Regions from separate parts of the Mus musculus genome. Here regions 1, 2, 3, 4, 5 and 7 are each reported to be linked to region 6. Evidence: microRNA targets listed by miRTarBase, many of them from high-throughput screens and not tested one by one. Region 6 holds a microRNA gene; each other region holds the end of a gene's coding sequence.

Region 1 (4,312 bases), not on the chromosome of region 6:
CTCACAACCCCTTCTGGATGCTCACCCACTGTAGTGGTGAAGTGGTGGCACAGGGCTGTTGGGTGTCAGGAAGTGGCCTGGGTGGCTGTCAGCTGACTGCGCGATGTGGAAACATGCTGGAATAGGAACTTGTGCTCAGCTTCGCAGCCAGAGACTTCTCTAGAGGAAGACACGAGCAGGAGGAGCCAGTAAAGCTAAGCTTAAACAGGAAGAGAATGTAACATCCCACATCCTCTCTTACAGAACGTCACAGAGGGGATGGAATAAGCAGCCACACGGCCTTTGGAGCAGGGCTGTACAGATGTAAGGTAGGATGTGTCTGATGTCTGTGCAGGGGTTACTGCCTCGAAGATCTCTGGAGGGTAACCACGAACTCAAACTATCTCTTGTCTCCTGTTCATCACTGGGCATCTGAGCATTCTGGGCTCCCAGCAGTGTCTTCAGTCTCCCTGAGGGTGTCTAAGCTGGACCTGTTTGTCCAGTGAGCAAGAACACTCTGGAAGTGGGATACGTGGCTGTCCTCTGCTTGCCCTGGGTACCAACCTGGCCACTAGTGACCATGGGCTGTGGTTCCTGGGATAAGTGTGGATGTGGAGGAGCCTTTTTCAGGTGTCTGTCAGGATGTCATAGAAAACAGTCTGTCCGTGCTGCCTGAGATCCTGTGCATGGCCCGTGCGTTGTGGTAGCTGTGGAATTTCTGACCACCACCACCACCATCATGACCAGTCAGCCGATGCTCTGTGCTGCTGCCTGGTGTGTGTGTGTGTGTGTGTGTGTGTGTGTGTGTGAGACTTTGGGACTCCCTCCATATGTGCAAGAGTGAGTCTGCAACGTGCAGGACTCAGTGCTCAACAGCTGTACAGCCATGTTGCAGGCACCAAGGGCCTTGGGTGTCAGGAACGATTTCCCTTCACCCTGGAAAAAAGTGTGTCTTCTGAGGCTAGGCTGGATCTCAGTTAAAACTCATGACACGTGGTGTGCCCAGGAGCCAGAGTGACACTGTCCTGTCCCCGCCAGCTACCATCCTCATCTTGCTCAGCATGCTGCAGGCTCTGCAGGGGCAGGAGAACGGTAGCCACAGGCTGCAGCAAGGTGTCCCCTTCCCTGCCTGCCAGCCTGTTGGATCCTTCAGGATCCAGTGTGCTTAGTCTCCATCACCTGCCTGGAACCAACTCTACCGCACACTACAGCCAGGTCGGGATGCCAGGCTGTAGACTCTGGGCTATGGTAAGATCACTCATAGCAAGTGAGTGGGTGGGCGCTGTCCCCTGCCAATGCCCCTTAAGCACACTTGGGCTGTGCTGTGTGAGTGTGTCAGGTGATGTGAGTAGGTACCCTGATGGGCAAGGAGCTTCTGGGATGCACACTGAGCCCCTCGCGTCTGCAGACAAATACAATTCACATAGCCCAGTATGGACGGCTCTCATGGCTGCAAAGAGCAGGAATCTTTATTTGGTTCACGCCAGATCTGCAGCAACCACTTGATATTAAAAAAAGGTGAAGGGAAAAGTACGCTGTACAAAAAAGATGGAACCCCTTAGAAACCAGAAATGCATCGGGTCACCTGCTGAACCTCACTCTCCCTTCAACCTCCCCGGATCCAAACCAGCTCCAGGAGGAGGGACAGGCGGTGGACAGGGAACAGCGTGGATAACGGAAACAAGAAAGCTGAGCGTCGCTGGAACATGCTCTAATCTGTAGTTTATTTCTGGTTAAAAATATAGCAATCCAGTGCACTGTAGTAAAGAAATCTGCTCAAAAGGTAGCAGAGAACACAAGCAAAGCAAGGCGGAGTCCGTAAGACAGACGGGCGGGCGCACCCAAGGAGACTGACGGAGCCACGGGGGCCAGGCGGGCTGGCATCCCTTATTCATTTGTTTGGATGAGGGAACAACCCTGGTAGAGAAGGCAGAGACATGAGGAACCTGTTGTTTGACTGAAACAAGTTACATTGGACATCCGGGAGTGCTGGGTATGCAACGGGGCCCAGGGCATTCTAGCCACTGGCTTCAACCACATTCCTGTCCCGGGACCAGACTCTCTGGAGTAGCTCTGAGGCATCTGGAGGGAATATGCATATCTGTTAGGGGAAGTCGAGGCAGGCACAGTGCAAAGATGTGAGACCCCGTGGAGGTCAGTGAGAGGTGACGTCCTCCGTGGGGCGCCACTGCCAGGGACACGGAAGCCTGAATATACATCCTGCATACTAGGTGCAAAACGAACGGCACATGCTCAGACAGAACCCAGGCGTGCTGTCAGGCAGTCCGGGGCATGTGGGCCATAGCCCCCTTGGCATCAGGGCTCAGATGTGCCCGGCCAGGTCGGGGTCAGCCCTGGACGTCTGCAGCATGGCCTCCCTGGGTCTGGAGGGAGGATGGCTGGACAGGGCCAACAATGAGTGAGCGGAGGACAGCAGGGAACAGACTTTGCCTTAAGACTCAGTGTGGGAAGGAGGCCTCCTTAGGAGAGCCTTGGGGCAGTGCCAAGAAGAGGGATCATGGTCTTTTCTGGGAAGAAGAGCAGGGGCTTTCCTCTCCCTCCACAGGTACGCAGCACAGACTCCATGGAGACAGAGGCCAGGACACCCTGTCCCTGGGCCTGGGCCCACACTCCCAGCTACTCACACAGCTGCACTCCCTGGCTGCCCTCCCCCTCTCCCGGCTTGCCGGGCACCCCGGTCAAGGCGCCACCTTCCTCCACACCTGGCGGGAAACATGAAGGTCCCGATCTTTTGGCCACTGGTTTGCCCGGACCCGCTCACACCAAGCTGGACGGGTGGCATGCCGGCCTCCTCCTTCCAGGCCACACAGCATTGTGTTATACAAGCAAAGAATTTTGGCTAAAATCCAAAAAAACATTACCCAGAAAAAAAGGCAAACTGTGATTGATACCCAATCATGTTGTTCTTCTGTGGAAGGACAGGCGCCGTGGGGCTGTCCCGAGTCATGGAGCCCCCTCCATGTTTTGCTTTTAGCGTCCCTTTTGTACATCATCGCTTCCGTGGTCACACCGATCTTGTCAGATGAAAAAGTTAATAAACAAAATGGCGACTCCAATGTTGAGCAGGATCACCATGACGACCAAGATGGGAGCTGAGCCCTGGAACAGAGAGGACAGGCGAGAGTGAGGCCAGTGCAGGGCCTCGGTACACACAGTGCCTGATGGAGAGGCTCCCCTCCTGCAGTCCCTCTCTGCTGGCCCTCAGGGCTCTCGACACGAGTCTTCCTCAACCTGGTGGGAAGCTCTAACCTGGGTCACCTGGAGTCTCCTGTGCTCAAAGACCTGCTTGCTGCCCATAGGCTGCTCTCTTGGGTCTAGTTCTTATCATACACCCAGTAACTAGCTTCTCCCAGCACTTACTCAAGCCCTTAGCTCTCAACACGGCTCACCGTCACCCCCATCACATCCACTGGCCCCGAGGGGCCCAAGACATCTGCCTGTTTGGCTGCCTGCTCATGTACCTTGCCTTGTTGCAGCCCAGGGAGCAGACTTTGCACACAGAGCAGGAGGGGAAGCCCCACAGTCCCATCGCGACGGAGGCTTTGCATATGCCCTTGACAGCCGTCCAGAGAGGAACACAGGAACTGTCACTGCGGAAGCCTCAGCCAGGCCCTGTGTGTGCAGAGCACATCACAATAAGCAGCTGTGAGCTGCCATGTGGGTGCTGGGAATTGAACCCAGGTCTTCTGAAAGTGCAGCCAGTGCTCTCAGCTGCTGAGCCAGATCTCCAGCCTCGAGACACTGAACCAACAAGAAGTTTGTTTGGCCAGAACTGCAGGCTTCAGGGAGCTTTCCCCCTTATTTCTTGCTCTATACCTGAGTGTCCTCACACTTGACTCACCAGGCTTCATATACATATTTTACTTAGTGTGCTTTACACGGCACATGTCCTTTCCTACTGAACTACCTCTACAGCCAAAGCAAAGGCTTTTTAAAATACCCTGGGAACTAGCCAAAGGGAGAAAGATCCAGCAGCCAGTCCTACCAGGGTTCAGGACCCAAGCAGCCCAGCCCATTCTCCTGTTACCACTTTGCTGAAGACTTTGTTGGAGACCCAGGCTCTCCCTGGCAGGGACAGGAGGCCAGCCTTCGGGTCTTGATTTTACTTCTGAACTCTGGTGCTTTTATGACATGAACTTTGAGGTGTCCATGACATCTGGGCTGAGCCAGCCTTGCAAGGAAGAGGAAAGAGTCTTAATAGCAGAGTTGGCCAAGGACTGGATCCTGCCCCCTGATGCCAGCCCTGGGGTCAAGCCCATAGCTCCCTGCCATTCTGAGCTGTTCTGTCCAGCCCCGGGCCTGCAGGTATGCC
Region 2 (4,312 bases), not on the chromosome of region 6:
TATCTATGGACATATGCGTATTAGAAACTAAAACTGACACCCTTTTAAGCATTTAGAAGATATATTTAAGATAGTTTTGTTTGTTTGGTTGGTTTTGGTTTTGGTTTTGGAGACAGGGTTTCTCTGTGTAGTCTTGGCTGTCCTAGAACTTGCTCTGTAGACCAGGCTAGCCTTGAATCCAGAGATCCACCTGCCTCTGCCTCCCGAGTGCTGGGATTAAAGGTGTGTGCCACTGCCACCAGGCTAACAGTATTTTCGAGATAGGTGTGGTGGTGACGTCACATCTCACAGATATCACAGTCATGAGAGCCATCGTGCAGTCCTGGTGTGATCGTGCAGGTAGATCTGGCCTAGTGGACCTCAAGGGCCCTCCTAGGTAGGCACCACTGGGCTAGATGCCAGGTGACCTGGCAGGCAGGCAGGTGCCTGGGTGCTGCTGACTGAGTCTGTCCCCGCAGGTGTCCTGGCACTGTGGGTCTTGGTGACTCACGTGATGTACATGCAGGATTACTGGAGGACCTGGCTCAGAGGGCTGCGCGGCTTCTTCTTCGTGGGTGCTCTCTTCTCGGCAGTCTCCGTTTCCGCCTTCTGCACCTTCCTGGCATTGGCCATCACCCAGCATCAGAGTGAGGACCGTCCAGGGAAAGGAGGACGGGAGAGGGCCTGGATGGCTTGCTTGACCCTTTCCCCACTGCCCGGGCTCCTTATTGTTGAAATAGGGAGAATGAGAGCCCCCATCTCCTCAGGGGTAGGAGGGTTCGAGTCCGGTAGGAGTTGCTGGGGGTCCTTTAATCTCTGCCTAGCATCGGGCGGGCAGCGCCCCCTGGTGGTGGTGATAAGAACTAGCAGAGGCTGATCCTTGTATCCGTGATGTAGGTTGGAAGGGCGTGTGCCACAGAAGCAGGGGATGGGTACAGACCTGCTGGCCATCTCTGACCTCCTTTCACGATCCCAGCTTTGTAACCAAACATGCAGTGTTTGTTACTCTAAACCTGCATCACATGCCCACCTCTATTGATTCTTTGATAGCACTGATTTCAGAGGTCAGGAGGCTGGAAGGATATGGAGTGGGAAGAAGGGGCTCCTAGCTGTGATGCTGTGGGCAGATCTCTCAAGTTACCGTCTGGCTCTTTTCCCTGCAGGTCTCAAAGACCCGAACAGCTACTACCTCTCCTGTGTCTGGAGCTTCATTTCCTTCAAGTGGGCCTTCCTACTTAGCCTCTACGCCCACCGCTACCGGGCTGACTTTGCGGACATCAGCATCCTTAGTGATTTCTAACCCAGGGAATGAGGTCACCACAGCCTGGGGGCCCTCGGGATCTGGACTCAGCTTCCGAGTCAGCAAGGGAGCTCACCCCAACCCCTGGGGAACTCCAGAACCATGGCAGAGTATATGGGCCCGTTCAGTTTCTCAGAAATCTGTCTGGTCCCCTTTTGGGGAAGATATAGAGCTGTTAAAGGGATACTGCCAATCTGCCCAATCTGCCCGTTAGCCCAGCTAGAGGGCAGCTTAGACCTTTCCAAATAGATCTATTTTCTTAGCCCTCTGAGGGATCTCTGTAAGTAGGGCCACGACAATGAATTCAATGGGTAGGATTGGAACTATGGCTAGTGACAGGGGCTGGGACAGGCTTCCTTGCTACCCCAGACTTCATTGAAGCTGTGTGTGGGGGAGGCATCAAAGGTCTGGTCAAGAGAGGAATCTTTAGTACAGATCTCCATCCCCTGTTCCCCACCCTGTTACCCTGAAGTGTCGGGTAGCCAAACTCACCGGTCCTTAGGGAATTGACAATTGGCTCCTTCCCTAAGCAGCACAGTTGGACAGAATCCAGCGTCCGTCCGTCCTACCTTCCCATCCAGAGTTTGTTTCCCATGAGGGTGCTAGCGCCAGCCAACCATTCCCATGTGTCGCATATGCACACATGACCACACACACCAGAGCAGGACTCCTCGGATGAGGCTAGACTTGAGGACCACAGGAAACACACCCCTGCACTTAGAAGGGCTTTGGGATCGGGGGCAACCTGGTGGGGGCAAGTGGGAGCTCTCCATCTGTACTGAGTCTCCAACCTTGCCCCTCACTGCACAAGACCACCCTGACCGTGAGGACCTCCTCCCTGCACCAGATCCTAACTCTGACCTTTCACCTTCTCTCTCTCCTGAAGGAACTCTTCTGAGTGGACATGGGCCCAAGGCCTTACCTAAGCGGAGAGGGAGGGCAGGGGCTGCTACTCTTCTCTGTAACCTTCTCTGATGGGTTGTCACTTTGCACGTCTACTCTTCCACTTGGGCACTGCCCCCAGCTCTCTGCCTTACCTGTGTTATGGGCACTTAAGCAGAAATACAGCGGCCATTTTAACCAGCCTCAGGGTGTTTCTTTGGGGGGGTGGGCGGTTTTGAGAGGGGACAAGAGTGGGCAAGATGGGGGCTCTAGCTGTCTGATCATCTCCCTAAGTTTGGGGCTACTAGACGGTATTCCTCATCTCTGGTCCCCTATGGGGAGACCACCAGCTGAGATCTCCTTTGCTCTCCCAGTTCTGTCCCAGCCAGGGTTAGGATGCCCACAGACTCAACATCCCTGCAGATTCCATCTCCCCACCCTAAGCCAAGGTAGATGGGAAAGGGAATCTTTCTTTTTCTACCCCAGCCAGACTACTTGGGGCTCCAAGTTGACCAGGATGTGTGGATTCAGAAGCAGAAAGGCAGGAGCTAGCACCTCTCTCACGCTGGGTACACTTGTCCTGGCCTGTGTTTGCCTCACCCTGGCCTTTACAGTGTAAAAACACCATGGGACTTTAGAGCAGGGAAGGATAAGGAACAGTGTCACTTCTAGAGCCTTCTGCTGGTAGACGCTCCTACTGATAGAGGAGGTAAAGACTACTGACCTCCCGGCTAGGCCTGGCTTAAGCCAGGCGTGCCTGCGTCACAACCTTTTGCGGTGTCTTAGCAACCTGAACCTGAGATCTTATTCCCGAATCCCACAGGGCCCAATGTGCAGGGCTCAGCCTGGGGCCATCTCCCTTTTCACCTGGGTTGGTGAGCATGTATTTGGAGTGGTTTCTTCCTGCATGTATTAGCCAAGGAAGGACAAGGGACTAGAGGGTCTGAGTTAGGTCCAGACTTGTCCCCTTTCCCCAGCCCATCACAGGATGCTGGGTGCACACCCACTCCACTGACGATGTCCCACCAACATCCAGGAGGCGTTCTCCCAAGGACTTTAAAGCAAATAAAACATATATTGTTCAGAAGTTTGTTTTTTTTTTTCACTTTTTTCTTTTTTACAAAAACATGCATACATAGACAAGGTACGGTGGGGTTGTGGGAAGACACACACACATATACCCTCTTGCACGCACTCATACACACACATACACACAAATACTCTTTCTTGGTCCCAGACCTAAACCTCAAAAGCCTCGAAGACTTCTGGGGTGGCCTCCCCTCCCCCATGTCTGTCTACTCTCCCATCTTGTTCCCCTCAGCCAAGCTAGTCCTATGTGGGGCAGCAGCCAGAGCTGAGGGGTGGGAGGGACCCCAGAAACAGAAGGCTCATACTGGGGACAGTGACCAGGCATCCCTGGGATTGTGTTGTGCTTTTGAAGGGAGATGAAGGTTTGGCACCGTTGGGTTAGGAGACACAGGACTCAGAGAGCACCTGTCTGCTGCACCGGGGCACTGAGATGGTCCACATAGGGTGGCCTCTGGCGAGACAGTGACTGATGGGAGACTTGCAGGTGACTACTACTCACAGGGAGAGAGCAGCTCAGAATGGCTCTCAGAGCCCAGAGCTACCAGAAAGGCATTTGAGGAAACAGGAGAGAGGAAACTCTCCTGTACTCAGGAATAGGGGACCCTTGGCTCCTCCAGCTCCTAGCCCTTCAGAACCTGAGAAAGGCCACCCTGGCCGAGGCCAAGTTAAGAATAGTGGTTATGGGTGGCCCAGTTGAGCCAGTCCCCCTCTGTGCAGTCCTGAGGGAGGGATGGAGACCACAGCTAGGGGTGTGGACACCAGACGGCCTAATCTGTTCTGGAAGAGCCCAGCTGTGCCCTAGTGCCCAACCTGCTTCCTCCCAGAGTCCTCCCTGGTCCCCTACCCAGATCCCATGGTCTTCTCAAGTTCCTTGGGATAGCCGTCAGGGTAGGCTGTGCTCTGGACCTGACTACCTGCCCAGAGGATCTCTGAAGACCCAGGACCAGGGCTGACATCAGAGACGAGGAGAGCCACATTTGAAGCGCGATCTGTTCTGAAACCCTAGAGGTTCATGGGTTCTTCCTCTTCCACCAGCCGCTCCGAGGGCCTGGGAATGGGACA
Region 3 (4,312 bases), not on the chromosome of region 6:
AGTTTTAATACAAAATGTAAACAAACAGTACAGAAGAATGGAGTTACTTGCAATTCTTGTGAAACAAAGCTTTACATTAGAACATCTACTTTTCCTTAAATAGATGACTCTTTATTTCATTAACTCACAAACTATAGGGTTTTTAATTTGTGGGTAGAGTGCTAGTTTCTCTTATATCCTTAATTTTTTAAAAAAAGATTTTAATTACTTGTATTTGTGTTTTGAGTATTTTCCAGAATAGATGTCTGTATGCCACATGTGTACAGTGCAGTAACGTCCAGAAGAGGACATTACAGATGGCTGTGAGCCACCATGTAGTGCTGAGAACTGAACCTGGGTCCTCTGGAAGAGCAGCCAGGATTCTTAACCGTTGAGTCATCTTTCCACCCCCTCCCTTATGGTCTTTTGAGTTTTTGTCTAAATCTATGGTTAAGATATCAAAGTCTTCAAATAAGTACAGAAGAGCCGAATGAATCAATTAAATTATATATTTAAAAGTTTCAAAACATCAGAAGATGACAGGCAGCTATTCACAGGTACAGACTGCCTATGTCTGAGGTCTCCAACAGACAAACACTGTACAAAGAACACAAATTACTCAAAACAGTCACCTTTCAGTATCCTCATGACTCCTTACTATTGATAACACAGTTAATGAAAAGTAGTTAACTGGAAGGAAAATCAAAATTGTAAAATGTATTCTGGGATTCTATCACTTACATTGTAAATTTCTGAAGGGTTGGTGTACACTCAATTTTAAACCACAAGTATCTCAAGTCTTTTACAAAGACTAAAAGTTAAGAAATATTGTGCTTTTTTTCATTATAACAATAACCAAATAAAATTCTTACGTGATAATCTTCATGTTTGGCAAAATGAAAATGTGTGAAATTAACTATTTACTTAATTAACCTTGTAACCATTACTGAAATCTTAGCTCACACTCACATTGAGATGGAAATTCAAGATACAAGCACAGCAACACATTCAAACAACATAACTGGTCAAGATATGTTACTTAACATTAAGTGAAGAGACCAAAAAGTAGGTAGTATAAACCAGAGAAAGTATTTTCAGAAATTGGATGTTGTACCTATAGCCGTACCACCTGCACGTGTATGTCTCCTCTGACCTTGGAAGCTAAGCAGGGCCAAGCCTGGTTAGCACTTGGGATAAAGGGTTTTGTAAGAAAACCTTTTCTTTTCCTAAGATGCCTTTTGAGGTAGCCCTCATACCCACACAGTCTGTAACTGGACAGTACATCTCACTTCTAGTTACTAGAAGACATTTATTTAAGAGACTGGAGTAAAGGGGAACAGAGGCTACAAACTTCCTAGGTTTGCTCAATGCCCCTTTAACAGGACAAGTGATGAGTTTAAGTTAAATTGCAGATTCTTAAACCAAAATAAAGAACAAAGGATAGTGAAGATAAACACCATTTTTAGAAAACCTTTTTGTCCTTTAAAATATATTATTCTCCTTCTAGCAGGAGTTTACAGAGTCCACCTAAGACCTTTGTAAGAACACAGAACCCAATAGGGGCAGGGGGGGGGGGCACAGCACCATAGTTTCAGACATACAAAACATTCAGCACTGACTAGAATAAGACCAAGCTGCCCAACAGACAGGGACAAGTCCCAACATGGAGGAAATATATTATCTATTTGAATAGAAGAAAAGTGGAAGATATGTTTAGGTGAGAATGAAGAAGGAAGTGCTAACTCCTTGTACTACAAGGAAGGAATGGGATTTCTTTATCAAAAAGCAGAAAGAAAATGCAAGCTTCCAAATGGATTTCTGATGCTCAAACTCTATCATACGCTGCTGGTAACAGTAAATATATATATATATATCTATATTCATATATGTATATCAAAAAAGGAAAAATAATCTATAGAACAGTCAGTAGTCAGAGACATTTAGAAAAAAGTAAAAACAAGTCTTTCTTTTTAAAAATGGGTTTACTAGAACAGCTTCACACCCAGAGGACCTACAGCCCCACATCCTCTGATGAAGCCATGGTGTTATTCACAAATATCTGCTGAGGCCATGTTGGAAACTACAGGCATTGGGGTTAGGGCTGCAAGGCAAAAGCTGTTATCTGCCAGTCTTGCTCATGGCCATGCGTGAAGCATGGTGGAGTCTGGAATACTTGTGAATGAGGGTTTCCCAGATAAGCATGCATCACCGAGGCTCAGTAAAACATTCTCATTAGTCATCCCTACTCCCTCCAGAAACCTGGATCTGTGTACCTACCTTTCTTTTCTAAAACACAGACCCAGATGGACTTCTCAAACCAATGGCCTACTTGCCTTGAAGTAAGAAAAAACCAAACCAAACCAAACAAACAAACAAAAAAAAAACCCCTTCTTCCCAGAATCCAGTCTAATCAGATATTCTAACCTGCTTGACATCCTCCTGAGGAAAGTGAGGGGATCTTTTGGAGGATTTTCTTATTGGTCTAAATAAACACAAGCAGCTGAGGTCATAGACTGCACTGCCACTCCAAGACTTCTAGAAGGGATAACTTTGGCCTGCTTCTCTTAACTGGATCAGTAGGGCATAAATGTCAGTAATTACAAAGTTGTGCTCTGACTCCTGTCCAATTATCCTAACTAAGGATATTTAAACGGTCAGGGCCTTCCAATGGCACCACCTGTAGGTTGTAACCGTCTACAACAAGTATCAGTTGGTCGAAAGCCACTTCTTATATGCCCCACTAAGCACATCAATGTATTAATGCCAAACAGCCTCCTGAGAGTTCCATTAGAACCTGACCTTAATTCAGCAAACCACACTCAACGAATCAAGAGTTGAAATACTTGGCTGCTGCACCAAAGAAGACATCCTCTGCACAGATGATAAGAGAATGGAGCCCACACAATCCATGCAGAGAGGAAGCCAGCACTAAGAGGACTTTTTCTGAAGTCCATTCATCTTTGGAAACAACATTCTGAGTGGTCGGAACCACTCTGCTTGATGAGTAAGGTCTCAATGTGGTCCACTTCCCCCCATGTTGCAAGCTAACCAGACATCTGCTAACTGGTCTCTTTAAGATCCTCCATTGGTAGTTTGTAGCTCATTAGGAAGGGAGGAGGTGGTGCTTGGCCTGGGCTATCTGGCCCCTGCTTCTTTGCACAGTTTATACAGATGTAATCTTCATTTTCAGCCATTTCTGCGGATACACCAACACAAACTTGATGAAACCACTCATCACAGCCACCATCACACTGTACCCAGTCTACCTGTAGGAGATAAAGATTGGGAGATGTTTAGCATCATAACAGTAAGGCCAGAATAAAAGCAAACCAGAGAACTTTCTTGGAATTAGAAGAGCAAACAACTGGGATATCCAGAGATAGATATGACTTCTTATGGGGTTATTTTTCAAAGAAAGAAGCTGAGAAGTTAATACCCCCAAATTATATTTTACCATAGTGTGTCCACAAAATTAGGCCTCTTAGGTACTCCATTCCCTCATGAATACCTGGGGTTCCTTGTGAGGCAGAAACATGATTGGGGAATACTTAACAAAAAAGAAATTTCTAATAGAGCAGCCAAGTAGTTTTAGCTAATATTAACAATTTCTAGGCTCTAAAATAATGCAATTAACAATCAAGAAAGGAAGAGGACAACAATGTGAGGCAATCCTGTGGATTAGCTTTATTTCAAAGAGATAAGCCAAAGTACTAAGAGCATTAAATACCTTTTTAGAAAAGCAGTCACATAGGCCACTTTTAAAACTACTATTTTTTATTCTTCTCTTCTTCCGTTACAAATACAACTCCCTATAAAAAGTTAGCAAATATCAGAGGTCAAATCTTACAAGTTAACCAATTACAACAGTCAAAGACACAGGTCAATAGATTAACTCTGGGGTTTAAAATTAGTCTGAGAAAGTGACAGGTGTCAGCGGCAGATGCCAGGCAAACACTGATCCTTCAGACCCTACAGTGACTAGGAGGGGCACAAAAGGGCTTTAGTTTGGTGACTTAAAACCTTGGCGCTAATAGTAAAGTAGGAAAGTAGTGCAACTTCAGGCTTTTCTGTTCAGAAGGCAACCTTATACTTAATGTCCTATCAGACAAGATCTATCATTACAATAGGGCTACGGGCATCCCCCTTCACAATACAAAGGCTGGTTACTGTGGTGGCAATACAGGAAGGCACTTAAAATCATAAGTTTTATTAGACCTTGGAGCAAAGAATTATGAAGGGATCAAAGAAGTCCCTTAACACAGCCAGAGGACAAAGGAGGCCTTGGCTAGGTAAATACGTTTTATTTAGGGAAAGTGAGTGGTTTTAAAATGCT
Region 4 (4,312 bases), not on the chromosome of region 6:
TTGCCTTAGCCCTGTGGCCCTGGAGACAGGAGGATAGGCAAATGTGGCTTGCTGGCTGCCAGCTCAGTAAGCGACACTATGGTGAGAGCAAAAAGCATAGGGGAACTAGTATGGCCACCAGTCAATGCCAGAGTTGCCGTGGGTGACAGGAGACCAGAGCCTGGACAGGGTGGTGGGATGAGGGGCTAAGCCTTGGGTGGCTGAGGACTGATGCTCACAGGGCCAGGGTGTGGGGCAGGGTGGGCAGAAGCGAAGCATGGTCACAAGAGGCCTGCAGTGGGTAGTGGGAGCAGCTTGTCACCTTCTGGGAGCTGTGGTGGGGTTTGACAATGACTGGGACAAACCCAGCAACATTGGGGGTTGTGGCATAGTCAGATGAATGGGCAGCCAGCATCAATGGAAGGTGGCACCTTGGATGACAAAGGCCCCCTGGCAAAGACCACATGGTCTGTGTGGAAGACACCATTAGACAGTAAACAGGGATGGTGACCCAGCTATCCTCCCAGGATGGCCAGTCCCGGACCGTCCGACAGTTCCAGTTCACGGACTGGCCAGAGCAGGGTGCACCCAAGTCAGGGGAAGGCTTCATTGACTTCATCGGCCAAGTGCATAAGACCAAGGAGCAGTTTGGCCAGGACGGACCCATCTCAGTGCACTGCAGGTGAGTGCCACACCTGGGCTCCTGAAGGTCCTGGGGCCACTGAGAGGCTTTCACCCACATGACCGCACATCCCCCTCCTCCCACAGCGCCGGAGTGGGCAGGACCGGAGTGTTCATCACCCTGAGCATCGTGCTTGAGCGGATGCGCTACGAGGGCGTGGTGGACATTTTCCAGACAGTGAAGGTGCTTCGGACCCAGAGGCCTGCCATGGTGCAGACAGAGGTATGGGGGGTGATGGGCAAGAAGTCCCTGCCGCTGAGACTCAGTTTCCCTCCTGGAAACCTATAGGCTGATTGTAGGTGTGCCTCAAACATCCCCCATGGTTGAGGAGGCGGTGAGCCAAAGTCCCTGCATGGAAACTCAGGCTCTGGCAAAGGGGCCCCTCACCCCTGCAGGTTTGGGGTCTGTCAGAGATCTTACCCTCCTGGGTTGGAAGATTGAGGCCAGGGCAGAACTGGGCTGGCTGGGAGAAGGGGCTGTAGGCTCTGAGCGGGGAGGACTGCTGCCACCGTGGGAACCTCCCAGGAATGAGTGCCTGTGTCTCCTCTGCCCTGCAGGACGAGTACCAGTTCTGCTTCCAGGCGGCTTTGGAATACCTGGGCAGTTTTGATCATTATGCAACATAAGCCATGGGCCCCGCCCAACACCTCAGCCCTGCGCCAAGTGCCCTGGATGTGAGCCTAGGCCCGCCGCTGGGCAGGATGCGGCCCAGGGAGACCTCCTCTTCGCGGAGACAGGCGCTGCCTTCCTCATTCCCTTCTGATTCCAAAACGAGGTTCCAGGGTGGGGGGTTGGGGTGGAGAGAGAAGGAGCCACTGCTCCCCAGGCTGGGGTCACACAGGGACCGACCTCTGCTTCCGCACTCCCCTGCCTGCCTTTTGGCAACATTTTTTTTCTTATTTTTTTTTAATAGTGTATATTTTTTTTCTTTTTCTTTTTTTCTTTTTTTTTTTTAAGAAAAAAACAAAATCGTGCCGGTCAAAACTTTGAAAAAGAAACAAGATCACTGTTTGTGCCTCTGTGGGAGGCCTATTTTTTCATAGTTAGTGTGCCGTGTGGCGGCTATGTGCGGCCACTTCGACGGCTTCTGTGTGTGCATCTTTCCCACATGCCCGACACTGCCCCCATCCCCATGTGAATGGTGCGCTTAGTTTTTATTTTTAACCTTTTTACTTTTTTTTTAATCAATCTTCAGACATATCAGATATGGAGGGTGAGGCGCTGGGGGCACTCGGGCCAGACTACAGGGACATGGCCACCAAGGACACAGTGGCTGGCCTTGCTGCTCCAGTCCCTGGCACACCAGGGAGGGTCCTCGTCTACTCATGACCTCTGTGCCCCGCATGGAGGACCTGGGACTACGGGACACTTGGGGGATATCCAACCCCCTGGAGCAACTGAGGTCTCTCTTTGTAGGAGAGTGGGTCAGTACTCGTCCCCGCTGTTTTTTGGGCAGAAGCAGCAGGTGACGCCCCTGTATGTAGATAAACCAACTTTGTATTAAAGAAAGATTCGTCCGACCTAGTGCATGGAGTGCTCCTTAATGCTGCCACTGTTGGGGAAAAGGCAGGACCAGACACTGGTGACCAGTGGGCTCAGAGAAGAGGTATTTTGGCCTCTGCGGTCACACAGTGGCTCTGGGCTTCAAAAACAGCTTAGTGGACTCAAATATGAGGTCCCGAGTTCAAATCCTAGCACCCAGGCAAAGAGGTGCTGCAAAGAGGCATGGTGGATATACTTGTCATTCCAGCCCTGACGTTTCTGGGGCTCACCAGCCAGCAAAGCCTGATGAGGGGACCCTGGCAACAATGGCAGAGTTGGTGAAGAGTAGGAAGCGACAGTAAGGCAGGTAAAAGAATTGGGGTGAGCTCTGGAGTGGAGGAGACTCCTTCATAGACTGCCAGAGCCTCGAGTCCATCCCTCTGGAGAGAGATTGAGGCCGAAGTGTCTGAGCTGGGGTGGGGGTGGCCCAGCATCCCTTACGACCTGATTCTCTTTCATGGCTGTGTAATATTCCCTTATGTGATAGGAACCTGCTGTTGTTCAGCTCTGTCTCTGGGTTAAAGCTGGAGCTCTGTGAGATCCTTATACAGAGGCTGGAACTACTATGGGATGTGCTCTGGTGTCGTGTCTGAAGCATAAAAGATACTCAGGCTTGTCCCAACCTTGACAAGTAGTGACAGCATGCGCCAAGTACCCTGGGCCAAGCAACTGTATCTACTTCCTTAATGGTCTTATGTTCACTTTGGGGTATGAATCCCCACTGAGTTGACCTTGAACTCAAAACCCTCCTGCCTCCACTTCCCTCAGTGGGCTTATCAGCACGTGCCACAGGTCCTGGCTAACTGTTTTCAACCGACAGTGGTTTTACACTGCTATGACTTCATCCCAAGGGCTGCGCTCCTGAGTTACATAGGAATGAAGGAGCAGAGGGCCTGGCTAACTGACCCCGCTTGTCTCCCCAGTGTTTTATTTCAAAATTAATCTTTAATTTTCCATGTGAGCGTGGCACCTGTCCATGGTGGCCGTAGGAGCTGGGTTCCTCGACCTGGCTTCAGGCAGTTGTGAGCAGCAGGAGTCCTCCCTCCCACACCCAAAGTCCAGGTCCACAGAAGCAAACTCCCACTGTCACTACCTGTCAATACCTGTCAAAACCACAAGAGACTCAAGGGCCGTACATAGCCTGGAGACAAAGCAGAGAATCTGATTCTCGTTTTGCATTTCAGTCGGGTGGACAAAGGTTCCGGCTCTGGCCACTCTCGCCCCAAAGCCCTTCAGACAAAGCTATGAGTGTCTGCTCCTCACAGAAGTGGCTTCTTCCCTGCTTTGCCTGCCTCAGCCTCCCGTTGCGAGCCTAGCTGTGCTCAGCTGTGTGTGTGTGGGGTCAGGGGGGCCCATCCTGACTGTGAAGCTGGCTGGAAGACAGGAGGAAGCAGGGAGAGTTACCCTGTAAGTCACTGAGGGGTACCTGTACCCTCATTTTGGCACAGACCTCCACAGCCCCATGCTGTCCTCAGGCAGAAGTGGGGCCCACATCACAACTGGCTATTTACAGCCTGGGCTTCCAGAGGACCTGAGTTTGGTTCCCAGCACCCACCAGGAGGCTCACGGCACCTGGGACTTTCTCCAGGCATCTGACATCCCTGGTTTCCTAGGGTAGTAGTGGCTTTCCTATGTAATATACCTCTACACAGACACAAATTTTTTTAAACTAAATTTTTAAAAGATTTTTCAGAAATACCCTCCCTCTATCATCTTGTACAGGTTGACTGTAACACACACACACACACACACACACACACACACACACACACACACACACCCCAGTCAGTAGCCCTCCCTTATTTGGCCAGAGGACCAGCAGGTTGACTGTAACACACACATACACACACATACCCCAGTCACACACACACACACACACACACATACACCCCAGTCAGTAGCCCTCCCTTATTTGGCCAGAGGACCAGCAGGTTGACTGTAACACACACACACACCCCAGTCACACACACACACACACACACACACACACACACACACACCCCAGTCAGTAGCCCTCCCTTATTTGGCCAGAGGACCAGCTACACTGAGATACTCTTTAACCAACAATTTTGTCTTTGGGGAAATGTAACAATTAGCCCAAGTAGATAG
Region 5 (4,312 bases), not on the chromosome of region 6:
TGCACTTTCTTTTCCCATGTTTCATTGCATGAAACTCTTTCTTCCCTAATTCAGAAAACGGGATCACACCAGAAGCCTCTGCCCTGCCGTAGCGACCGCCACTGCACCCAGGCCTTACGCTGCGCTAGCACACAGTTCCGGCAACGATTCCTGTCACGGCCATCATGGGAAGAAAGTTCTTCCTGACACGCCAGGGACCACAGGACTGGTTCTGGTCACTGAGTTAGGGAACACACTGCTTCCTCCTACTGTTACTTCTGGGCCAACGTTTCCCTTCCAGTTCCTGGGCCAGTGAGAAAATGGAGTGAGGGGCTAGGGAGCCATACCTCCTTCAGCCAACTCACAGTGAACACTGGAAATAAGGAAAACAACTCATCAGACATTCATTTGCTCTGTCTTCTCTCTCAAATACCCACACTTAGCACCAGGGACTATTGAACGCTGGACGGGGGCTAAGTGCCAGCACTGGGATCCTGGCTCAGTGCTGTGTTAACTTGCATGCGCATCACTTGACTCATGGTCAGGCATGCTCCTGTATGGCTTTTCCAGGACTCTGGTCTTCTACCTGGAATGTCTACAAAACTAACCTTGGGCCCCCTCATTCTATCTTTCTTGACTCCTTCACTGGCTGCCACAAGCTCCTGATCGCTGCTGTATCCTGGGAAATGTCCTCAAGATCTGTCCTTTAAAGCCGGGCATGGTGGCGCACACCTTTAATCCCAGCACTCGGGAGGCAGAGGCAGGTGGATTTCTGAGTTTGAGGCCAGCCTGGTCTACAAAGTGAGTTCCAGGACTGCCAGGGCTATACAGGAAAACTCTGACTCGGAAAAAAAAAAAAAAAAAAAAAAAAAAAAACCAAAACAAAACCAAGCAAACAAACAAACAAAAAAAGATCTGTCCTTTAGGTCACCAGTTCTTCTGGGAGGTGCTGACTGGCCAGGCTTTCCTGCAGGGGACAGCACTTGAATGCCAGTTTTGTGACCTGGGTTCTGATTTCTGTTTTGAACCTCTCGGCATTTTAAAGAGCCGTTCTTGTAACCCTTCAAAACTAAACATTTAACAGGTCTTAGGTCTACGCGTTATCAAGAGATCTTGCTAATTTTGAAAGTAAAATTACTTTCAGGTTATCTAATAAAAGCTGTAGTGTAAATAAAAGCCTGGAGAGACGGCTTTCAGTGCTCTGGAGCTTGTATTGCCCCTGCAGAGAACCCGCATTTGGTGGCCAGCAACATGCTGGGTAACTGGTTTGCAGCCACCTGTGACTCGGGCTGGTCTCTCTGCAGCACCCACACTCAAACTGTGTGCTACACTCACACAGACACATGTAAGTATAAACAAAACTCCTAAAAAGCCATAGTTTCCCCGAACAAAAGTTTGACTATGTTATTTTTTTTTGCACATAACTTTTATTTGTTGAATAAATGAATATTTGTCAATATGTACATAACCACAAAGGGCAAGATTGAGAGCAAAATATTTGGGTTCTATTATGCAAAGCCACTTACCAGCTATGAGGGACCGGGCGAAGAGCTGAACCTGGGCGCAGCCTCCTCAACTGTACGGCTGCACGGACCTGCGTGTCTGCCACGCAGGCTTATTGCAAGGTTCAAATGCAGGAACGTGTGAAAGTGCAGTGGACACAAGTGGGTGAGGATGTGACACGCAACAGCAACTACACTTCAAGCCGAGGAATATCTCACACCCTTGGATTGTACCCATGTCGTCAACAGAGAGCGGCAGAGTGGCGACAAGTTGGTCGCCGATAGGAACCAGAAGCCATTCTTCAGAGGGGGAAAGAAGCCTGCAGTGTTCTGCAGCCTGTCCCCCAATGAGTCACTCCCCCGACTGTATGATGTCAGAGACCCACCAATAACTCTCTTGAAGAAGCTCAAGGGCCAGACGTTCCTCATTTATTTACATGTGAAATGGGTTGAATACAGTCGCGGCGGTGTAAGGTGCACACCCGACAGCAGCAAGACTTTTCAAGGAACTGAACATTGACTACAGTCTAGCATGCAAGTCTCTATATACACACACATGGATTTCTTTGTTTTAGGAAAACAAAAGTACAAAACATATCGGGCGATAAATACAAGATATAAAATGTAACGGAAAACACAAAACAATAACCAAAATATATATATTTATAGCTTTCCCAGAGAACTATACAGGGATGTGACCAAGAGCACGTCGTCGGCAGTGCTCCAGTCAGGTGACCTTGAGAGGGTGCTGAGACGACTCTAGAAGCCTGGTGGCTCGTCTATGGCCAGTTGCAGAGTACAGGCTGCTGCAGTGCTAAGTCGGTGGTGAGGCTGGGCGTCTCGACACTTAAGTACCAGAACATTTGGCAGTAGCACCCAGAACAGGAACCCAACTGTGTAGACAGCAAAGGGTTAAGTCAAACCTGCCCTTTTGTCCCTATCAAGAACCAGAGATATACTTGATACCCTTGAAGTATATATATGTCTTCGGAATAGTTGGTGAGTTCTATGACAAAACCTGACAATAGAGAGCTATAGGTCTAATTATGACTTTCAACTCTGACCACAGGCTGCCCTTTTCCTAGCCTGCCTCCTAGTGCCCTGTAAGTCAGCCTGTGAACTAACCTAGAAAACTCGCCAGCTCCACTGTCTCCACTTTTTGAATCTCTTCTTCCTCACTCTCCCAGATGGACTGAAGGACACCCTACTGAACTCCTGACCTCTTTTGTCCACTGTGGACAGAGGTAGGGCCTGGAAGGCTGACGCTGTCTGGGGTGGCTCAGGCCACATCCTCACCTGGGTGATGTTGTCCTTGGAGCCCTCGGTTGCTAGGAGCAGGCACGCTGCGTGTGGTGCTAAGACACTTAAAAGTTGCTAGTGTTGTGAGACCCACAATCACTTACAATTTATGTGGCGAGTTCTAAAAATTAAAAAACACTAAAAAAGGCATGATAGCCTGTTATTATTGAACTCATTCAAATTTGTAACATACAAAATGGTTGGTTCGAATTCAGGAACTGCCGCTGTTACTAAGAACTCCATTTTAAAGAAACAGTACAAAAAAAAGAGAATCCTAATCACACACACACACACACACACACACACACACACAAAGAAACCTCAAAACATTTTCCACCAAATACTGATACAAACATGTAACAAAGAGTATAAAACGTTATTTAAATATATACAAAACTCTTTAAAACTCAAATACTGCCTTAACACTTATGGGAAGGGACACATCTGCAGAGGTGAGAGGGCAGGACAGGGAGTCTGTGGCGACAGCCTAGACGGTACTGGTAACTCTTGTTATACTGCCAACTTTTGGTAACAAAAACGTCTTATTCTCCATTCCTATGTGGATAGGGGTTGTCCTCCTGGAAGTTCTGTGGCTATTTTTCAGCTGAACTCATTCTTTTGGATTTGATGAAGGCCATGCCATGTGTCCGCATGTGTGTGTTTAAGGCAGCTTCCGTTTCAAAAGTCTTGGCGCACACTTTGCACTTCCTGTCTGATGCTGCCCCCTCGGCGGCCTCGTCCTCAGGGCTGGGCTTGTTCTCCTGCTGGCTGTCTTCCCCAGCCCCGTTCTGCTTGGACACGGGCTGAGGCTCCTTCAGCTTGTGCACGATGAAGAGGTGCCTGGCCAGGGAGCCGTGGGACGTGTAGCACAGGCCACACTCCCGGCACTGGTGGGAGGAGCCGTCCGACCTGTGCTGTGGGATGTGTTCGTGGAACTGCAGCAGGTTCTCGGTGGTGAAGCCACACACGGCACACTTGTGGACCTTAAAGACATTGATTTTCAGTTTCTTCAGTGGCTGAGTGATGGCTCCTCTGGGAGGCCTGAACTCTAAAACCGGCTCCTCCAACTTCCGCTTGGGACTGGGAACCTTTGTTGTGTGGGGGGGAACCAAAACAAACAAACAAACAAAAAGATACAACTGAAGATGGTGGGTTCTATGCCGGACAAGAAAGCAGATACTGGATGGAGTAGGGTTGGAGGCCTTAACGGTGTGAATTCACCCCGCAAATAGGAAGCATTTCCGTATCAGTGTGCACAGCAGTGCCTTCATGACCCCGGGATGCAGGGGAGCAGCCCCGCAGGCCTTCCACACCTCAGAAGACAAAGCAAGGGCGTGGGAAGGGCTCTAGTAGGAAAACACGGGGAAGGACCGTAATGGCCGGTGATAAGCGGGCCTCGTTCTGACAACTAGAAGCTGAGTACATAGGCCCAGGAGGGAGGAAGGCCTGTGTGCTTTGCGGACAGTGGGTTCCACAGAAAGGGGAAACACAGCACACTTAGGCCAAGGAAGACAGAGTGGAGCACCTCACAG
Region 6 (4,312 bases):
GAACACCAGTAATCCAGGGGAGCAGATTTCCTGGGATTCCTTCCTGCCGCTAGGACAGCCTCTGGGCCCCGTTTCCATGGTGACTCAGGACGCTTTCCTTAGCTCTGGCGTCCCGCCCCTACCGGAGAACCGTCCTGTTGGTAACTGCCACCACCGGAATGCCTGTGTTTCTTCTTCCGTAGATCTGGGGTTCCTCGAGGGCTTGTGGCCCATCAGCAGCTGGCTTCTGTCGAGGTCACAATTTTCGGGGCCAGTCAAGCCTTAAGAGTAAAAGCCTCAACTTTGTGATGTGTACAGTCCTGGACTGTCTCTTAGATCCTCAGCCAGCGTCTCCTCCTCCCCCAGATAGCCCAATAATGTGAGCTTTAAAGAGCGCCTTCCTCTTTTGGACAAGATTGCCAAGGCTTCGCACTCTTACCTCTGGGGAAATTCTCAGGTTTGCATTGATACATCTGCATAAAGCGCTAATCTAGAACTGGGCCGAGAAGTACCGGTGGATACAGCTTGTGTGATTTAAAACCTCTCAAATCTTTTATTACAGATATTAGGAAACCAGCTGGTTTTAAATCGTGTTCACTAATTATTCCCACGAAAAGTTGCCTAGAACGCAACTGTTAATACCTTAAAAAATATACCTGGTTAAGTGGGCTGAGTTCCCTTGCCCCATGGAAAATTATGAAAACATTTAACGTTCCCTTCCAGGTCACAATCATGTGTGAGACGTTTCCCTGGAGATTTTGTCTGTATAGCAACTAACCATTTAATGACTTTACGGGGTTGACAGGAGCTGAAATGGAGATCCTAAAGCCAGTTTTTGGAAAGGAAATGAACACGATTGCTGAGATTTTCGTGGCGCTTTATTTTTTAGAGTGTTATTAATATGTCAGGCAAAGTCCAAAGATTTATAATCACAAGTCAATATAATGACCAAATCAGCTAAGGGATAATTTCTATTTTTCCAATATATCTAAAAATCACAAAAAATGTACCCCACACAAATTGATACATTGTATACTTAGCAGCTAAGGGCTAGCGGTTCCCCCCCCCCCCCCAAACCACTAATAGTATGGTAAGAATATTTCCCTATGGCTCTGTCCTCACCAAAATGACGATTCACAGGAGGCTCAGTCGGAGGAATTTCAGTCTTTTTACCTGGCTGTGTGGTTAGTGATTGGTACTATTAGCAATCAGCTAACTACACTGCCTAGTAACTAGACTCAGAAAAAAGCATGCAGTCTTTAGCTGGTGCTCTCAGACTTTGGTGTGACCAGAGCAAATCGTCAGCCAAGCTGTGGTTGACTCTAGTCGCTGCCTTGGTGATAGCTTTCTCAGAAGTGGAAATCAGGCAGTGAATCACAGCAGCAGCAGGAACTGTTCTGGGGGGGGGGGGGGGGGGGCTCTTCCTGGCCTTTTTTTTTTTTTTTTTTTTTATGTTAAGGCCGGTGTATACCGATTCTCTTTACACATCACTGAACCGTTTTTGCTCTGGCTCTTACACACAGGTAGCCGAACGGTCCCTAAAGGAGGCCGCCGGTCTCCGAGGGTTACTTGCACTTAGACCTCGTGCTCCCGGCCCTTTGCTGACGCATCCTGGCTCCGGCCTCGGCTTTCTGCGGAGTCAGTGGGGCTGCAGCGCTGGCTTCTCCTCCCGCGGGCGGCGGGTGATGCTGTGCCTTGTTTTGATGGCAGTGGAGTTAGTGATTGTCAGCACCGCACTACAATCAGCTAATTACACTGCCTACAAACCGAGCACCGGGCGCCCGCCACTGCAGCTCCCGAGGGTCGGGCCCCTCGCCCCCTTTCGCCACGGTCGACAGGCGAGGGCGGCGGAGCGAGAGGTGCCTCAGGCTCCCGAGGCCCCTCCACACCCAGCAGGGCCGCGCGCGACCCCAGGTGAACCCCCAGGCGCTGAGGCCCCCTGTCCCCGCCGTCCCCCCCGAGACCCCCGACTCAGCCCGGACCCCAGGGCATCCGGCCCGAGTCCTTCTTCCCGCAAGCCGGGTCTGACCCGCCTCCAACAACTTCTTCACGGCTTCCAGACCCAAGTCTAGAGCCGGTTCTGTCCAGCCCGCGCGCCCCGCAGCTCCTACTGGCCGAGTGACCGTGGCTCAGCGACCAACCGCCCTTGGAACCCCGAGGCCGAGGGGGCGGGGCGAGTGGGGGAGGGGTGGCAGAAGCTACCAGAAGGGGCAATGGGAGGGCTCCTGCAGAGCCTCCTGGGAAGGGGCCGGGGAGATGGAGAGACAGATTCTTGAGAAGTTTATCTTCACAGTGTAGTTACTGCTACATCGAAGAAAGAAGCGCAGAGACCTACATCCATCTCTCCTTCCCAATATATTGCCCAAGAAGCCCCAGGCCTCCTCACTGTTCATATGCCCATTCTCAGAAACCGCTTCCCAGGCGTCTCATCTGGAGCCTTCCTGCCTGAGCAGGCCTGGGCACTCATACCTGCAGGATTGCCCTTGCCTGTACCCAAGTTCTTTCTTAGGACTACCTCTTACAGGGCCATACAGTGAAGTGTGGGCCACTCTTCTGGTCAAACATTGAACCAACACCCTTGTTGGTAGGTCAAAGTTGTGGCCCTTATAAGATCAAAGACACAGTTTTGATGATCTCCCCGTGAGCCTTGAGGATATCTAGTCTCACTTTGGGCTCCTGTTTTATTTAAATGTTACAAATCCAGCACCTAACAGGCGTTTGTCTTACTACCCATCAGACAGTCTAGGTGGTAACAAAATGTGAACACATTATTTATTACTCCAGACAGTATAAAGTTGCTAAACTGATAGATTTTCCTAATAGAAAAAAACAGGTATGGGTGGGGGTGGGAGGTGTGCCAACAAGAGCTGACAGACACCATCATGGAGGAGGTGAGAGTTCAGGTAGATCCTTGAAGCAAGGGTAGATTTGGACATTAAGGATGAGGTCTGTAGAAGCCCGAGAAGCCATATCTTCTGTCAGTTACATTCCCCTTGTTTTTGCTATTTTATATCTGATAACGGGGTGCGTGTTTGTGTATATTGGGAATAGGAGGCGCTGAGGGGACAGCATTTCTGCGCCATCTTCACTAATATTTCTTTCCTTTAGTCTTTCCTCTCCTTTCCTTTAATTAATTGAGCCCAGAGAGGATATACAGTATTCTCTGATTGCAAACTTTGTGGAATTCAGTAGGAAGTAGCCGTCCCAGACTGTGGTCTTCCTGTATGCTGTATGACACCCATTTGTATTGATCCAACAGTCTTGCAGTCTACAAAGGGACATTTCTTAGCTATACACTGATACCTGTAAGCCCAGCAAATGGTCTTGTAGATGCCACTAATTACATGAATATATGCCAATCATCAGGAACATTCAACACAAATTCCAAGTGGAAACCATTAAAACCCAAGAACTTCCCAAGAATAAACTTGTGTATATTTTAACATTATCTTTGAAAGTAAAAGACAATGTTTTTTTCCTTCAGAGTCATTGTTTTATGAAGGCTTAAGTGAAAGGAAAATGAAGTAGAAAATGCCAGATTATTATAAAATTAACTTATGAAAGACATTTGTAAATAACTATCTTGTATTCAGTCTTCTTGTATTTGAGAAAAGTATAATGTATCCTACAAAAGGTCATTTAAACGTTCAAATATAAATAAAAGTAGTAGAAATAGCCTCCATCCCATAAACACTATGAAGAGTTACAAGTTTTAGGAGGACATCATTAAAAAATCATTTATTTTGCATTTTGCTCAATTTCACTCCATGTGTCATGCTTCCACCCAGCTTAGGGATTTTCTCTATTAGTAGCATCTTAAATATCTTACCTGAGTTTTATTGCTTCCATCCAAAGCTATCATTGCATAAACTGTCTTGAAATTTAGACTAAATTTTTTTCTTCAATGATAAAAAGTAAAATGATGAAAAAAAAATGCGTGTGCCCTAGTTCTGTTAGAAAGCAACAATAGAAAAGAATGTCTGTTCTTAGGGTTGCTGTTGATCCTGCCCACAGTTACTAGAGAAACTCCAAGGATCTTATTGCATCTGCTGGTCATGCCTAGGCATGTCTAGAGACCAGGGAGACTCATGTTTTAATCTAAGTAAGAATGCCTGTGGTGTGGTTAAAATGCCCAAGCAGACCATTACATTTGGTTAGATAGATCCAGGAAGGCACCTTGAGGAGGAGCTGTTTACTGCTTTAATTTCTGGGTTTTTGTTGATCTGGGAGATGGGGTAGGACCTTTGAGGAGATGGGTTGATAGTATTGACCGGAAGGAAACCATGAAAAGTATCAAAAACAAGAACTTCCTGCGTGAATCTGACAAATTTAT
Region 7 (4,312 bases), not on the chromosome of region 6:
TTAACCCTCACCCTACCCTGACTCCCATTGGGTTTCTGTTGAATTGAGCTGAGTCCTTCACCTCCTGCCCAGGTTGGGAGGCAGTGTGTGACTGGAAGGACGTCCTGTCTGGAGGTGAGAAGCAGAGGATTGGTATGGCGCGCATGTTCTACCACAGGTGAGCACTGCAGCTGCAGCGACTTTCAAGGACATTCAGTAAATTGGACCCAACAAGAGAGGAAAAAATGAGTTCTCCCAATAGGGAGCTACCTGAAGGAGTTTCACCTCTCTCCCAGCTCTCCCCCAGTGCAGCAGGGCTGTGGGTCACAAGTGTTTAGCCAGGAGCTGAAAGTTGGACAGTGATAGGTAATTCACAGCTTTCCCCTTTACCCACCCCCACCCTAAGGCCCAAGTACGCCCTCCTGGATGAGTGCACTAGTGCCGTGAGCATTGATGTGGAAGGCAAGATCTTCCAAGCAGCCAAAGATGCTGGTATCGCACTGCTCTCCATCACCCATCGACCCTCCCTATGGTAGGTGCTCTTGGAATTGTGGGTGAGGCTGCCACCTGAAGTGAGAAAGCAGCTATGACAGCTTTCTACCCTCTCCTGTTCAGGAAGTACCACACACACTTGCTGCAGTTTGATGGGGAAGGAGGCTGGAAGTTTGAGAAGCTGGATTCTGCTGCCCGCCTGAGCCTGACTGAAGAGAAGCAGCGCCTGGAGCAGCAACTGGCGGGCATCCCCAAGATGCAGGGGCGCCTTCAGGAGCTCCGCCAGATCCTTGGCGAAGCTGCAGCTCCAGTTCAACCCCTGGTCCCAGGAGTCCCCACTTGACTGGGGACCTTATCCCCAGCTCCCACCCTTCTCCAGGCTCTCGGATCACATGAAGGAAGCTCCTCCCCTCCCCCATTGCCCTGCATGCCTTACCCCTCCCAAGCCTCCTAGCCAATTACCTGCATTCCCTGAAGACCCCACTCTGGGACAGGTAGATATGAATGGGGACACACTGCATTCCACCTTCACTCTGGGTTCTGCTCCAGGAACTCTGCCCTGTTCAGGGCAGTGTGTCTTTTACTTTTCCCTGGGGAGGGATGGAGGGTTTGGAAGTCCCCAGTCCTGACTCTATACCAGTATGGCTGAGCCATAGGAAGTAAGCAGGAGCTGCCTCCCTTACTGCCAGCAGCCAGAATGTGTGGCAACCCTGGTAGTTGTGGGTTACATCCCTGCCGAAACCCAAATCCTTGTCATTGTTTTGATCCATCCCTTTGTTGCCATCCCCTTGTGTGACCAGCCAATGCCCCTGTCCCACAGGATACCCCCTGCCATGAAAACAGCCTAATGGGGCCCAGGATTAGACAGGGCCCAAAGTGTGCCCTTCCCCATGGTTACCCAAGAAGGACAGAGTTCCTCCTGAGCCATGAAGAGAATATAGCCCTGGCCCTCCCACTCCTCCACCTCTACAACCTAATTTATTGGACTCCCAGTTTATAGTTGTCTAAATTGCCAACATGAGTACCCTGCCAGCACAGGAGGTGACTGGGTGGTCCCTTCAATCTACCCAGTCTCTGGTGCCAAACCTGGCCCTTCACCAGCCTATACTGCCAGTTGCCACTGGGGGTGCCCTCTGCCAGCTAGGCAGAAGTGAGGGCACCATGTTCCCAGCTCAGTGCCAAAGAGGGGTCACAGGAGGTGCTGTGTCTGCTAAACCAGCCCTCACCAAGAGGGAGACGCCCCCACACACACACCCTACTGCCATTGTGTGCCTTTCCTGGGCCTTCAGCCCTCCAGCTGGGGTACCCCCCTCAGTCCTCTCAGTAAAAACCTCTGGAAAGTACAATCCTGCCTCCTGAACTTGGTGTCTGGTATAAGTTCTGGGGAGTAAGCCAGGCATAATTGTGCCTTTAATCTCAGCACTCTGGAAGCAGAGGCAGGTGGATCTCTGTGAGTTCAAGGCTAGCCCAATCTATGTAGTGAGTTTTTAAAAAGCCAGGGCTGCAAAGTGAGACCCTATCTCTCTCAAAAAGACAGGCAACAACAACAACAAAAGTTCTGAGGAGAGGTCACAATGTTGTTGGGAGAAAAGGAGACCTGCCCCCAAACATGGGCCCAAGTAAGAACCTAGTCAGTTGCTAACCCCATGGTACTCGAAAAAGTTAGTGTTCTCTGGTTATGCCTTTTGTACCCTAGGGAGATGACAATCATTGCTGTAAAATCGTACTTGAGGCCAAAGATAGCCTGCCAAGTGTCTGAAGGGGAGTGCAGAAAGCAATGCTATAGAAACCCTGTGAGATGCCAAGGAGGTAAATTGAGCACTGAAAGAGCCACAGGAAAGAAGTGATTCCTGGATTGAGTTGCACTGGCGCTTCTGAACCTTCTAGGAAGAAGGAAAAACGTATCCAAAGGCCCAGGGGTATGTCCAGAGAAAGATATCCAGTACAGGGGGAAGGAAAGGCCTAGACTGAGGCAAAAGGTCACGTTAAGTCTGAGGATCCCCTGAGTGAACCACGTGGAGCTGGGATGCAAAAAGCATCAAAGACTCTAAGGAGAGGTGGCAACCCCCAGCACACGGTTTTATAAGGTTTCCAGGGGCAGAATAGAGCATCAGCAACTAGGCACAATATGATTGGTGGAACAGTGCACCCTTTAAACGGATTGGTCTTTAGGGAATGAAGTGACAAGGACTTCCATTGTTTGAAGGTGGGCAAAATTCCTGTGGAATGTGTCCCCACCCACAGGTCAGTTCCTGTACTGTTGTGTGAGAAATGTTAATTAGCCTCTCCCTTCCGGAGGGGCAAGTTTTTCATGACCTTCCCAAAGTTCCTAAACTGACCTTTTCTTTTTTTTTTTTTAAACATTTATTTATTATATGTAAGTACACTGTAGCTATCCTCAGATACTCCAGAAGAGGGCATCAGATTTCGTTACGGATGGTTGTGAGCCACCATGTGGTTGCTAGGATTTGAACTTGGGACCTTCGGAAGAGCAGTTGGTGCTCTTAACCACTGAGCCATCTCGCCAGCCCTAAACTGACCTTTTCATTCACTGAGTAGGTAAAATGAGAATAGCCTTGGGTTCTGCAATGGATTTTTTTTTCCTTAGAAAAGATTTATTAAGGCAATATAACAATATACAAAGCACTAGAAAATGGCCTGAGCATCTTTTCAAAAGTGAGCCCACTGTGTCCACAACTTCCCCACAGTTCCTTATCACCAGCAGCTACTTCGCACCTCTCTTCTGACAGGAAGAATATTTCCTTCAAAGGTTTCCACATCCACATAGCAGCCTCACATAGGCCAGCCGCTTCAGGTTCATGCTGCAATGAAGGACAAACCAACCCCACTTCTGCTGAGAGAATTCCTGGGAAGGCCCTGCAATCAGGACACATCCTTACCCCGCCCTGGAGGGGGATGAGCGGTCCAGCATGTAGGAGACTCTAAAAGAAATTGAACCGAAACTCTTCGCTGGTCAAGTCCGGAGTGGTTTTGACCTTAAAGCAGGCCATGGAGTTGTGTGTGGACACTTGGTGGAGACAGGCCAGACAACTGCTGCTAGGAATAGAGGGGATGTTTTTGTTTTTTTGTTTTTTGTTTTTCAAGACAGGGTTTCTCTGTATAGCCCTGGCTGTCCTGGAACTCACTCTGTAGACCAGGCTGGCCTTGAACTCAGAAATCTGCCTGCCTCTGCCTCTGCCTCTGCCTCCCAAGTGCTGGGATAAAAGGCGTGCGCCACCATGCCCGGCGAGGGGATGTTCTTATAAAGCTAAGCTGAGTTCCCACACTGCCCGTATTTCCACCCTCAAGACATACCAAAAAAATCAAGTCAGAAACCTATGTAGATGTTTACTGTGTAGATTCTATACAATATTTACAGAAGCCTGAGTACCCAGAAACAGATAGACAAACATATATATTTATACAATAGAACATTATTTGACCATAAAAGGTTGTGAAACAGCAACACATGCTATAATATTCAAGAACATTAAAGACATGCTGACACAAAGAAGCCAAGCACACAGGTCCAAGTATTATATGATTGCATTTAAATAAAATATCCAGAACAGACAAATCCATAACAACATAAAGCAAATTAACAGTTACCAGGGCTGGAGGGGGTGGGGAGAATGGCTATGGGGAGAGATTGTTTAATGAATACAAGGGTTCTGTGGGGGGAGAAGTGATGAACATGTTTTGGAATAACAGAGGTAATAGTTGTGCAACATTGCAAATTTACAAAACACCACTAAACCATGTACTTCAAAGAGACTTGTGTCTCTACAAGGAATTTCACTACAAAACAAGTAGTTAGTAGGTGGATATAGATGGATAGACA

The links. The annotated mature microRNA mmu-miR-34b-5p reads AGGCAGUGUAAUUAGCUGAUUGU and lies in region 6 at 1,718-1,740, opposite strand. An mRNA with a match to its seed (bases 2 to 7 or 8) in the 3' UTR can be bound and repressed. Matches are read on the target gene's strand: a 7mer-m8 pairs with bases 2 to 8, a 7mer-A1 pairs with bases 2 to 7 and ends in A, and an 8mer does both.
Region 1: miRTarBase lists Jph3 as a target of mmu-miR-34b-5p. Seed matches in the 3' UTR shown: 7mer-m8 at 2,476-2,482.
Region 2: the mRNA of Slc48a1 is a reported target of mmu-miR-34b-5p. Seed matches in the 3' UTR shown: 7mer-A1 at 1,465-1,471 and 7mer-m8 at 2,292-2,298.
Region 3: miRTarBase lists Kdm5a as a target of mmu-miR-34b-5p. The part of its 3' UTR that is shown has no 7-base or 8-base seed match.
Region 4: the mRNA of Ptprs is a reported target of mmu-miR-34b-5p. Seed matches in the 3' UTR shown: 7mer-m8 at 1,778-1,784.
Region 5: the mRNA of Zfp532 is a reported target of mmu-miR-34b-5p. Seed matches in the 3' UTR shown: 7mer-A1 at 2,346-2,352 and 7mer-m8 at 2,196-2,202.
Region 7: miRTarBase lists Abcd1 as a target of mmu-miR-34b-5p. Seed matches in the 3' UTR shown: 7mer-A1 at 1,153-1,159, 7mer-A1 at 1,578-1,584 and 7mer-A1 at 1,729-1,735.

Annotation. Positions count from the first base shown.
Region 1 is chr8:121,788,186-121,792,497 of GRCm38, reverse strand. Jph3 (junctophilin 3) reads right to left here. Exons shown (of 5, transcript NM_020605.3): 5 at 1,415-3,099. The coding sequence ends at 3,019. Among named protein-coding and RNA genes, the nearest start is that of Klhdc4, 39 kb to the left of the region's middle.
Region 2 is chr15:97,789,445-97,793,756 of GRCm38, forward strand. It overlaps Slc48a1 (solute carrier family 48 (heme transporter), member 1), which reads left to right. Exons shown (of 3, transcript NM_026353.4): 2 at 459-626; 3 at 1,143-3,248. The coding sequence ends at 1,279. Hdac7 (histone deacetylase 7) reads right to left here. Exons shown (of 25, transcript NM_001378971.1): 25 at 3,237-4,298. The coding sequence ends at 4,253. Among named protein-coding and RNA genes, the nearest start is that of Slc48a1, 7.2 kb to the left of the region's middle.
Region 3 is chr6:120,437,920-120,442,231 of GRCm38, reverse strand. Kdm5a (lysine (K)-specific demethylase 5A) reads right to left here. Exons shown (of 28, transcript NM_145997.2): 28 at 1-3,245. The coding sequence ends at 3,039. Among named protein-coding and RNA genes, the nearest start is that of Il17ra, 23 kb to the left of the region's middle.
Region 4 is chr17:56,410,300-56,414,611 of GRCm38, reverse strand. It overlaps Ptprs (protein tyrosine phosphatase, receptor type, S), which reads left to right. Exons shown (of 33, transcript NM_011218.2): 31 at 507-661; 32 at 748-883; 33 at 1,219-2,186. The coding sequence ends at 1,287. Among named protein-coding and RNA genes, the nearest start is that of Mir6977, 6.5 kb to the left of the region's middle.
Region 5 is chr18:65,686,518-65,690,829 of GRCm38, reverse strand. Zfp532 (zinc finger protein 532) reads right to left here. Exons shown (of 10, transcript NM_001361053.1): 10 at 1,387-3,868. The coding sequence ends at 3,374. Among named protein-coding and RNA genes, the nearest start is that of Oacyl, 9.6 kb to the left of the region's middle.
Region 6 is chr9:51,101,893-51,106,204 of GRCm38, forward strand. Mir34b (microRNA 34b) reads right to left here and starts at 1,753; the gene lies at 1,670-1,753. It overlaps Mir34c (microRNA 34c), which reads right to left and starts at 1,218; the gene lies at 1,142-1,218. Hoatz (HOATZ cilia and flagella associated protein) reads right to left here and starts at 186. Exons shown (of 6, transcript NM_177702.4): 1 at 1-186. The coding sequence starts at 78. It also overlaps a transcript of Btg4 not described here.
Region 7 is chrX:73,736,718-73,741,029 of GRCm38, forward strand. It overlaps Abcd1 (ATP-binding cassette, sub-family D (ALD), member 1), which reads left to right. Exons shown (of 10, transcript NM_007435.2): 8 at 73-157; 9 at 386-511; 10 at 595-1,817. The coding sequence ends at 814. Among named protein-coding and RNA genes, the nearest start is that of Plxnb3, 18 kb to the right of the region's middle.